Linked DNA regions of Drosophila melanogaster. The protein of the gene in region 2 interacts with the protein of the main gene of each other region in a pairwise test. Each region holds a gene or a part of one and is shown on either strand. Other genes may lie near its edges. The genes, in order: Surf4 and CG13245.

The links.
Region 1: the proteins of CG13245 (region 2) and Surf4 interact in a two-hybrid assay, tested with the Drosophila melanogaster proteins (one large-scale study listed by BioGRID).

What each region holds. Positions count from the first base shown.
Region 1 is NT_033777.3:15,342,859-15,347,825, reverse strand, and holds Surf4 (surfeit 4), read left to right. Parts: upstream 1-1,649; 5' UTR 1,650-1,866; coding exon 1,867-1,917; intron 1,918-2,673; coding exon 2,674-2,937; intron 2,938-3,002; coding exon 3,003-3,413; intron 3,414-3,475; coding exon 3,476-3,562; 3' UTR 3,563-4,173; downstream 4,174-4,967. Other genes in the region: CG31301 (uncharacterized protein), read right to left, coding at 1-136, 201-362, 421-617, 674-1,032, 1,143-1,521. UniProt on the Drosophila melanogaster protein: Endoplasmic reticulum cargo receptor that mediates the export of lipoproteins by recruiting cargos into COPII vesicles to facilitate their secretion.
Region 2 is NT_033779.5:16,002,377-16,006,233, reverse strand, and holds CG13245 (uncharacterized protein), read right to left. Parts: upstream 1,910-3,857; 5' UTR 1,541-1,909; coding exon of another isoform or gene 1,379-1,540; 5' UTR 1,219-1,378; intron 1,147-1,218; 5' UTR 1,125-1,146; coding exon 882-1,124; 3' UTR 773-881; downstream 1-772. Other genes in the region: CG31820 (uncharacterized protein), read left to right, coding at 140-328; CG43816 (uncharacterized protein), read right to left, coding at 1,379-1,540; CG34167 (uncharacterized protein), read left to right, coding at 2,790-3,173.

The DNA.
Region 1 (4,967 bases), on a different chromosome or scaffold from region 2:
ATCACAAAACTTGGGGTTCCGCCGAAGCAGGACCTCAGTCAGTATTGTGCCATAGTCGATCTTCTTGGTAATCAAAAGGCGCCGGCTCTCTCCACTCCCATAGCTAGCGGAACGCAAGCCAAATTGTCTGGCGATTCTGTAAAGGGAAATGCCAACATAATAAGCAATTATTTTTTACGATGTGGGATGACGGTGCTTACTGGTGAAGCGTGGTTCTTTCTTCCTTCGAAAACGTGGGCTCAAACTGCATGTCACGTATATCGTCCGATCTCACATAGTTTTCTATAAGCCGTCGGTAATCAGCGAAATTTCCCTTTGGATTTATTAATCCAAGACCATTACGATTGTTCTTTAGCAGATAACTGAAAATATAAAATAAAATAGTTTCGTTTGGTGATACGTTAAAAGTCGAACTCTTACCATACGGGCTCTTCACGTCCCTGCTTCAGTCGCCCTAAGCCACCGCCTGTCCAGCCCATCAGTCGCATCATGCGATATCCCTTGTTGCTGGGGTCCAATTTGGGATCGCACGGACTGTCGGCGGACTCATTGGTGACTTTGATGTTGACGCCGTCCTTGTTTTTTTCCACCTTGATGGTGTCGCGCGTGGCATTCAGCTGTGTAGCGTAGTACCGGGTTTAATAAGGCATACATTATTTCAGAAATTTCATACCTTAATACTATAGCAATAGGACTGGATCGTCAAATGCGCCTGCTTATAGGCAGCTTTCTTGGCCGCCTTAAGGCTCTCCCCCTGTCCTGTCGCTATTACCTCATCATTTACTAATAATTCGGCGTATTTTGTATTATCGCTTAATGGCTGATCTCGGCTGACACGCTCTTCGTACTTGACATTCGCAATGTTGCAGGAGTTTTGCAGGCAGGCTCGTCCCCCAGCCAAGTACACAATGAGCCGACCGAAACGCAGATCTTGATAGAGATCGACTGGATCTCCGCCGCCAAAACACTGGCGTTTTATGTGTGAGCTATCCTCTGGGGAGCTCGTCGAGGGAAGGGGTGGAGCCCGGCGCCCTAGTAGTTGGAATTAGGCATTAGGCTTTGGTCTCTCTGGCTCGTATAGTTACTAGTGATAAAAAGAATCTTCTCTCGCCTATGGGCCCACTAATTGTTCAGTCGTCTACCTTTGGCGCGCTGCTCCGCCGCATCCGACGCCGAGACAAATGTTCTCTTCAGGCGCTGTTCCCGTTTCTGACGGAAATCCGCTGCGATTTCCTTGGACAACTCGGCCACCAAAAGCATCGTCGCGCTTGGATACTTGCAGCCCATGAACTCCATGTTGACGAACGTTTGGGCCAGGCACACCAGCCGGTCCTCCTCAAAACGATCCTTGTGGGCCAGCATGAAGCTGCGTCGCAGATCCCAGTGCTCATCACTTTCGTATTCCGTCTTGTAGCTGTCTACATCCCAGTCCAAGGAAAATTCCCCGGATCCATAGCCGGCATCATCCTGTTTTTTAACTTTGACTTTCTTCTGCTTTGGCTTGGATTGTTGAACGGACATCTTTACAGGGAAAATAAATAGCGTTCAACTTGTCAAATAAAATGAGCACAGGCACGCTTGTTTTTTGATTGCTGCTTTCCCATTCACAGCGAATTATCAATTCGATTGGCCATGTGTTGCCCATTGGCTATCGATAACGCAGCGATAACGATAGGCCCCATCACGGCTATACTTTGTCGTGCGTGTGTGTTTTTAAGTTCCTGCCTTTTAATTCATGATTTTTTGGTAACTTAACAACAATTTGGAGAGCGACGCGACGCCCAAGAAGTCAGAAACGAATTGCCAAAGTGTCTCCACAGACGATTGCCCCAAAGTGAGAGATCGGATCAGCCCAAAGCAGCCAACATGAGCATACCCAACGAGTACATAGCGAAAACGGAGGATGTGGCGGAACAGGTAAGATATATTAGGTTCCACTGCCAAAAAGAAGTCCACCAGGACTCCATATCCACCGCAGGAAGCGTCTTCCCGATGCGCCCCAAATGGCGTTTGCGGGGAAGCCCTGGCAGCTGCAAACTGGGAAAACTGCCAACGTCACCCAAACGCGGCAAAGTTCGAGGGTCTTGGCTGCATATAATCACGATCCGCTGACATGGGGGCAACGTGCTGGGCATTTGCTTCCAATAAGAATCTGGGTGCAACCCAGATGATGGGTTTGCCTTGTACTCCAGTACCGCAATTGACAGTTGTTGCGTCTGCCGCAGGGAAAACTCTCTCTCTCGCTGCTTATTTTCTACCTGTGTGCTGATGCGTATGTGTCTGTGTGTGTGTGCGAGAGAGCTGTCTCCGCAAGTGAAAGTGTTGAAAAAGAAATAGCGGGCAGCTGGACGCCAGCGGCCAGGTCGAGTTCCGTAATAGTTGGGCTAGAAAGCCAGGTGAACTTGCTCGCGATTTACATACATACATGTATGAAGTTACATTGACAGCCGGGCCAAAACCCGTTAGCTGGCAGATAGCAATCGAGAGATACTAGCGTTTAGAGACACGTCACAGCCAGCGGGCGATTTCTAGCGACTACGCGCAAGCCACGCTCAACGGCATTGTATATTTAAATCCCTTATCACCTTGTCAGTAGTCCCCTTATCACCATATCAGCACCCATCCCAATTGCTCTCAACTCAACCAGAACCAATCGAACACTCATTTTTGCAGGTCATCAAGCGCGGCAAAAATGTGCTGCCCACAGTGGCCCGTTTGTGCCTCATCGCCACGTTCTTCGAGGACGGCCTGCGCATGTACATCCAATGGAACGAGCAGCGGGAGTACATGGACATGAGCTGGGGCTGCGGCAAGTTCCTGGCCACCGTCTTTGTGCTCGTCAACCTGTTGGGCCAACTGGGCGGCTGCGGCATGGTGATGGCCAGATTTAAGGTCGACATAGCGGTGGGACTGCTTTTCTTCATTGTGGTGTTGCAGGTGAGTCTGCATTTATATCAGCCAGAAGCAAAAGCCTTGACGTTAACCCGATCCTCTGTTTGCAGACCGTTGCCTACTCCATTCTGTGGGACTTCCAGTTCTTACTGCGAAACTTTGCACTCATCGGAGCCCTACTGCTCGTCCTGGCGGAAGCCAGGATAGAGGGGCGCAGCCTGTTTGCCGGCGTGCCATCGATGGGCGAAAACAAGCCCAAGAACTTCATGCAGCTGGCGGGCCGCATCCTGCTGGCCTTCATGTTCATCACTTTGATCCGCTTTGAGCTGAGCGTATGGCAAGTTATACAGGACATCATCGGCTCCATTCTGATGGTGCTGGTCGTGCTGGGATACAAGACGAAGCTGTCCGCCCTGATTCTGGTGGCTCTGCTTACGATCCTGAACCTGTACCACAATGCCTGGTGGACCATTCCGTCCTACAAGCCACTCAGGGATTTCTTGAAATACGACTTTTTCCAGGTTAGCAGGTTTACAATATCTTTCGCACGAATTTGTGTTATTTTTACGCATTCCCTTCGCAGACTCTCTCGGTGATCGGTGGCCTCCTCATGATCGTGTCCTTGGGCCCTGGCGGCGTTTCCATGGACGAGCACAAGAAGAAGTGGTAGAGGCCAGGCAACGGTCGCTCCTTGAACGAAACACTTTCAACATTTGACTTTTACCGTGTTTTACTCCTTCTGAGAAATGTTAGTTAGGAATTACCATAAAATGGGACAACAACAGGAGCAGCATCAGCAGCACAACACCGGCACGTATAAGAACTTGACAATTTTCAATAAAGGGACTTCCGCAATACCCCTCTCCAATGGCTCACTTATTGGGATCGCCCCAACCCAACTCCAAATCCATTCGCGCACATTCAACGACAAACTTCGACATTTTAAACATTTAGGACATTTTATTTTTGTACATAAAGAACAGGCAAGAAAAAAGTTTGGTCACTTTCGAGCCCACCCCAAATGAGAGACATAACTGATTTTATATCTATGCTTGTCAATATCCATGTTTTTTGCCGATTTTTTTATATGATTTGTACACTCTTATAAATAAGTTGTAACCTTGGTGTTTGCCTTTTGTTGATTGCTAGAAGTTTGAATATGAAAACGATGTATAAAATATGATGTACCAATTGACAATGATTTGTTTCTTTCGTTTATAAGCAAAAGTGTAATAGAATTAAATTGTAACGTTTTAATAAACATAAAGATGAAAAACCGAGACTTGTGCATTTTAAACTTGGCGCCAATTGGCCGATAAATGGTTAATGCTTTTGTTTGTTTACCAGCACTAAGGCACAGCTGACTCGCAACGTCAACAAAGAGGGAAATGCCCATTCTTCGACTACTGGGTACCCCGTACTAAGTTAGCTGCTAGTGAATCCTGCATAACTAACAATAAATAACTTTATTGCAAAAATAAGAGCATAAACCTTATACAAGTAGTACGATTAAATTTTGTAAATAGACACAAAATATAATGATAAAAAAAATGATTAGGCACCGTTTTGAATGGTAATGTTAGTGAATTAACTAAATATAAAACAATATATTGAAAAGCCCTGACCTCTCCAACAAGGCAGTGAAATGTCAACGGCCTCACTTTTTTTTAAAAACTTGAAATCAAATCTGAAAATAGGGATGAGTACATTTGATTAATTTCCAAAAATTGTTGCAATCAGTTCAAATCAATTGCAATACACAATGCACACAAGTAACTTATAGGGGCGGAAGTGTTTTCTGCAGCTGGCGACAAACACAGTTGCGTGTACAATATACCCGTGTATTGGGCAATTACCGGGTATAAAAATATCAAAGAGTCGCTGAGCCCCGAAGTGAGTATATGGCCAAACACAACGCATTTGTTGTTCAAAGCGTTCGGAACGTGGACGGATTGAGCTCCGCCGGGTAAGAGTTGGTCGTCGTAAATGTTATAGCTATGTGCCGCCGCTTCTAATCAAAATCTAATGAGTGTTTCGATGTGTGGGCGTGGTATAGTAAATCAAATCTGCAACAT
Region 2 (3,857 bases):
AAAAAATTTCGTGTTTCAACATTTTTGGAAATCTTTACTCAAGCATTTCTCTTGCCTTAAACAAAATGTGAGTAGTCCTAATTTCCCCGAAAGATTTTCTATCGAATATCTCCTTCAGTTATAACCTATCCTCCCGAAGATGTGTTGCCAAGGAGCTTGTGGATCGGTATCCTATGCCCTGGCTTATGGCCCCGTCGGACCCGCTCTGCCAGCCATGAACTATAATAACTGCTGCTGTGGACCCAATCCTCCCTGTGGTCCCTGGACATGTCCTCCTAACAGGTGCTGTTGTGCCGGCGAATGGGGTTGCTTTGGGCCTTTTTACTGAGAAACCCAAGGTACGACAATTCCTGAAGAAAACGACGTGAAATTTTTTTGTGCTTTTGGTTTGAACCACATTTTCACTTACACAATGGTTCGAGCTTTTCAATAAATTAATGTACTTAAACAAGTAACTTCTTATTTACTATTTGTCAAATTTCTTGAGAAATTTCATATTCCATTGATACGTATATGAAAAATAAGAAAATATACCAAAATCCTAGATAGCACAATCTTACTAGGATTGAGTATCCTAAGTATACCATGAGGTATAATTCTTTCTCTAATGGTTCTTGAAATTGTATGGCTCAAATTTAATATTCCTTTAAAAAAAAATATACTAAAATTGTCGACAGTTTTACCAGGACCAGGATACCGATAGGAAAAATATGAAAATAATTAGGCGCGACAGCGTAGGTACAAGATCTCTAACTAAGGAACAAACTTACTTAGTCAGTATTAGTCCCTCAAATTTTTATTGGTTTCCCATGGAAATGGCTGGTACAAGAAGATCTACACTGATAATTTTAGTAGTATAAGACCGCATTTCCTCCTGGCGTTTATTCGTCTTCCTTTTTTTTCTGAGTACTCGCCAGTGTGCAGAGCTGCGCATCCAGTGGAGACAGGATGTGCGGAACATAGCAGTTGTTGGTGTTCTTCTTGCGGCTAGTATCTAGAACATAACACTTATCGCAAGGACCGCAGGGCGTGGGTATAAAGTCCCGACCGGTGAAACGCAGTGTTGACAAGGGAGGATTATTGCAGGCCAGGTCAAAGGAGGCACAAGCCCAGCCACCACACATGGTTAGGAAACGGATGTGGGAACTATATGGAAATGTGAATGATTAAAAATAAAATTTTTAAATAAAATTTTATAAAAGCATAAATGAAACTTACCCCGGTGAACGTTTAAGGTTGTTGTTCCGACAAGGACTGGACTGGGACTGAATGATATTTGTTTCATGGCTGACAGCCAACAGTTCCCAAGGCCTACTTCAAGATAGTTGAATTCCGGACTCTCCACCCAACTCTGTGGCTACTCCAGGTCAGAGATCACCTAGCACCCGCAGCAGCCACCGCAGCAACCGCCGTAAATGGAACAGTCATCACATGGACCGCAGGGCGTGGGTGCGAAACAGCGGCCAGAGAATCGCAGTGTCGACAGGCGGGGATTGCAGCAGGCGATATTGTAGGAGGCACAGGCCCAGCCACCACACATCTTGACTTGGTTTAGGTTTTCCGAAACGTGTGCTCTTTTTACTATTGTTTTTTTTTTTTTTGGGTGGGGTGTATAGTTATTGGCCCTGGAGCAGACACAAAATCGAGTGTTTGGTGCCGAAGTGGAAAAGGAACTGAAGTGGATTGGGTTTCCCAGGGAGCAAAGGCGATTTTTCGCTCTGACAGCTATTGACAATCTCATCGACGCCGCCCTCGGGTTAGACTACGCTTTGGATATCTGGCCTAAAATGAAAGCTGGCTAAATCGGAACGAGAGAGTGGATGGCACCCTGATGCTGAAGTGAACTACATTTTGGAAGCCCTTAGCCGGGATCTTCAATCATATATACCATATTATGGCATGTTGTGGGAATATATAAATTAAATTACTCTATTGGTGTTCTCTGTGACACAACCAATCAAGTAAGCGTTACAAAATAAAGTACGAGATTGCATACTGTTCAGAACAACTTCATAATTCTATTACTTCTACCACGAGTTTTAACTCGGACCGTTGGCGATGCAAATTTCTATCCGCCGAATAACGAACCGTGATGAAAGTTTTTGCCACTCCGGTCCATGATACTTCAATCCAACTCCTATTCATCCAGGCGGAGACAATCAATTACAATATCTCCCGACGGACCAGAGGCCATGTAAGAGGGTGTCTGCATGTGAGGATCTAGTAGACAAACCCACGCATGGTCAACTGTGCAAATGTAACTGAGAGGACATGGGTTCGACGAAGCGTGGTGGTTCTGGTTGGATATTCCTAGCGACCATACGTCGGTTTTAAATGGTACCGCAAGGCAGGATGTGTAATTGAGATGTAATTTTAATTGCAATGTTTTGGTGACAAAAATAGAGTGATGGAATAAAAGTACTTTTATAGACTTTTATAGGAAGAAAAATCGTTAAGTTACCATATAAATTGCAAATTATACATGGAATTACTTAGTCTCCAATATATGTTTATTCGATACGATTCTAATTTAAAATGTTTTCAACCGCATGTATCCTTGCCTTTGGTGTCACTTTTCCAGTAAATACTTGAGGAAACTGCAAGAGTTTTTATTCGACAGGAATTATAAAATTTTCCCAGTGGACTTGTGACTATTGGCGGACAAAAAAGGTGCTAAATAGGCGCCTGGAGCTGTGAGCTGACTGTCCATCACTGCCCCGGAGTATTTAGCATTTTTTTTAGCGGCAAGTACTTAGCAACAGGTTGCAAAGGGCTAAGTAATTTCTAGGATGAGTTGTGCTGCACCGCGATGCCGACCGCAGTTTGGATCCTGTGGGTCTGGTTGTAAGCCCTGCGGCGGAGGTGGCTGCTGTGGATCCTGCTGTGTTGGTGGTTCCTGTTGCAGGGGCGGTACAGGAGGATGCTGCGGCGGATCCTGCGGCGGATCATGTGGCGGTTCATGTGGTGGATCCAGTGGCGGATGCTGTGGCCCACCGCCCTGTGCCGTGGTCTCGTACCGCTTGACCTACGGCCCCGTGGGTCCCCTGCTGCCCTGCATGAAATGCACCTGCAACTGCGGATGTTGCAGCGGCGGTTGTGCGCCACCTTTCTATTTTGTGCCGAACAAATGCAAAAATTGCTGGGAATGGGGCTGCTTTGGCCCGCTGTACTAATACCCTGTAGTACCCTGTTGTTGCACTTTTTATTGGAACTTTTCATATTTTTGAATGCAATAAATTCACGTGTCAGCCAGACTTGCATATTTGCGCCCATTTTTGTTGCCTTTCTGACAGGCTAACAAATGACCGGGGTCCAGTTTCAGGGTTGCCAAAGTTTGCGCCATGAAAATCATTTAACATTCGAACTTTTGTTAGCTAGCCCGCAAAAAACGAATGAAATGGGCAGGCAAAAGTTTCCATTCGAGAGACTAGCAAAACAATGGAAAAATGGTCAAAATCTGAAAGCTGCTTGTTTTGGTTTTGCATACGAAGCGAATGCAGGGGAAAAACAAAATATTCGTTCGAAAACCTTCCAATCTATTTGGTTACACGACGTACTTATGTAGGTCATGGATCTGACAGTTTTTGTTCAGCTATTCGGTTGTATTTTTTAGCCACGCTTGAATAGCGAAGACAGGTCAATTGAACGAACTTTTTGACAACGGTTCCAGTCACCAAAATATTTTCGTTTAAAAACTGCCACAGTTGAAAACAAATTGACGCGCTCCTAGCCATAAATTTCTTTTTTAATTAAACCTCAATGTAATTTGGTTCACAAACCAATACATTAGTTTTGATAAGGAAGCTCAAAAACAAAAACGCAAATGGTCTGATAAAAATTTTCAATTAGCATGATAT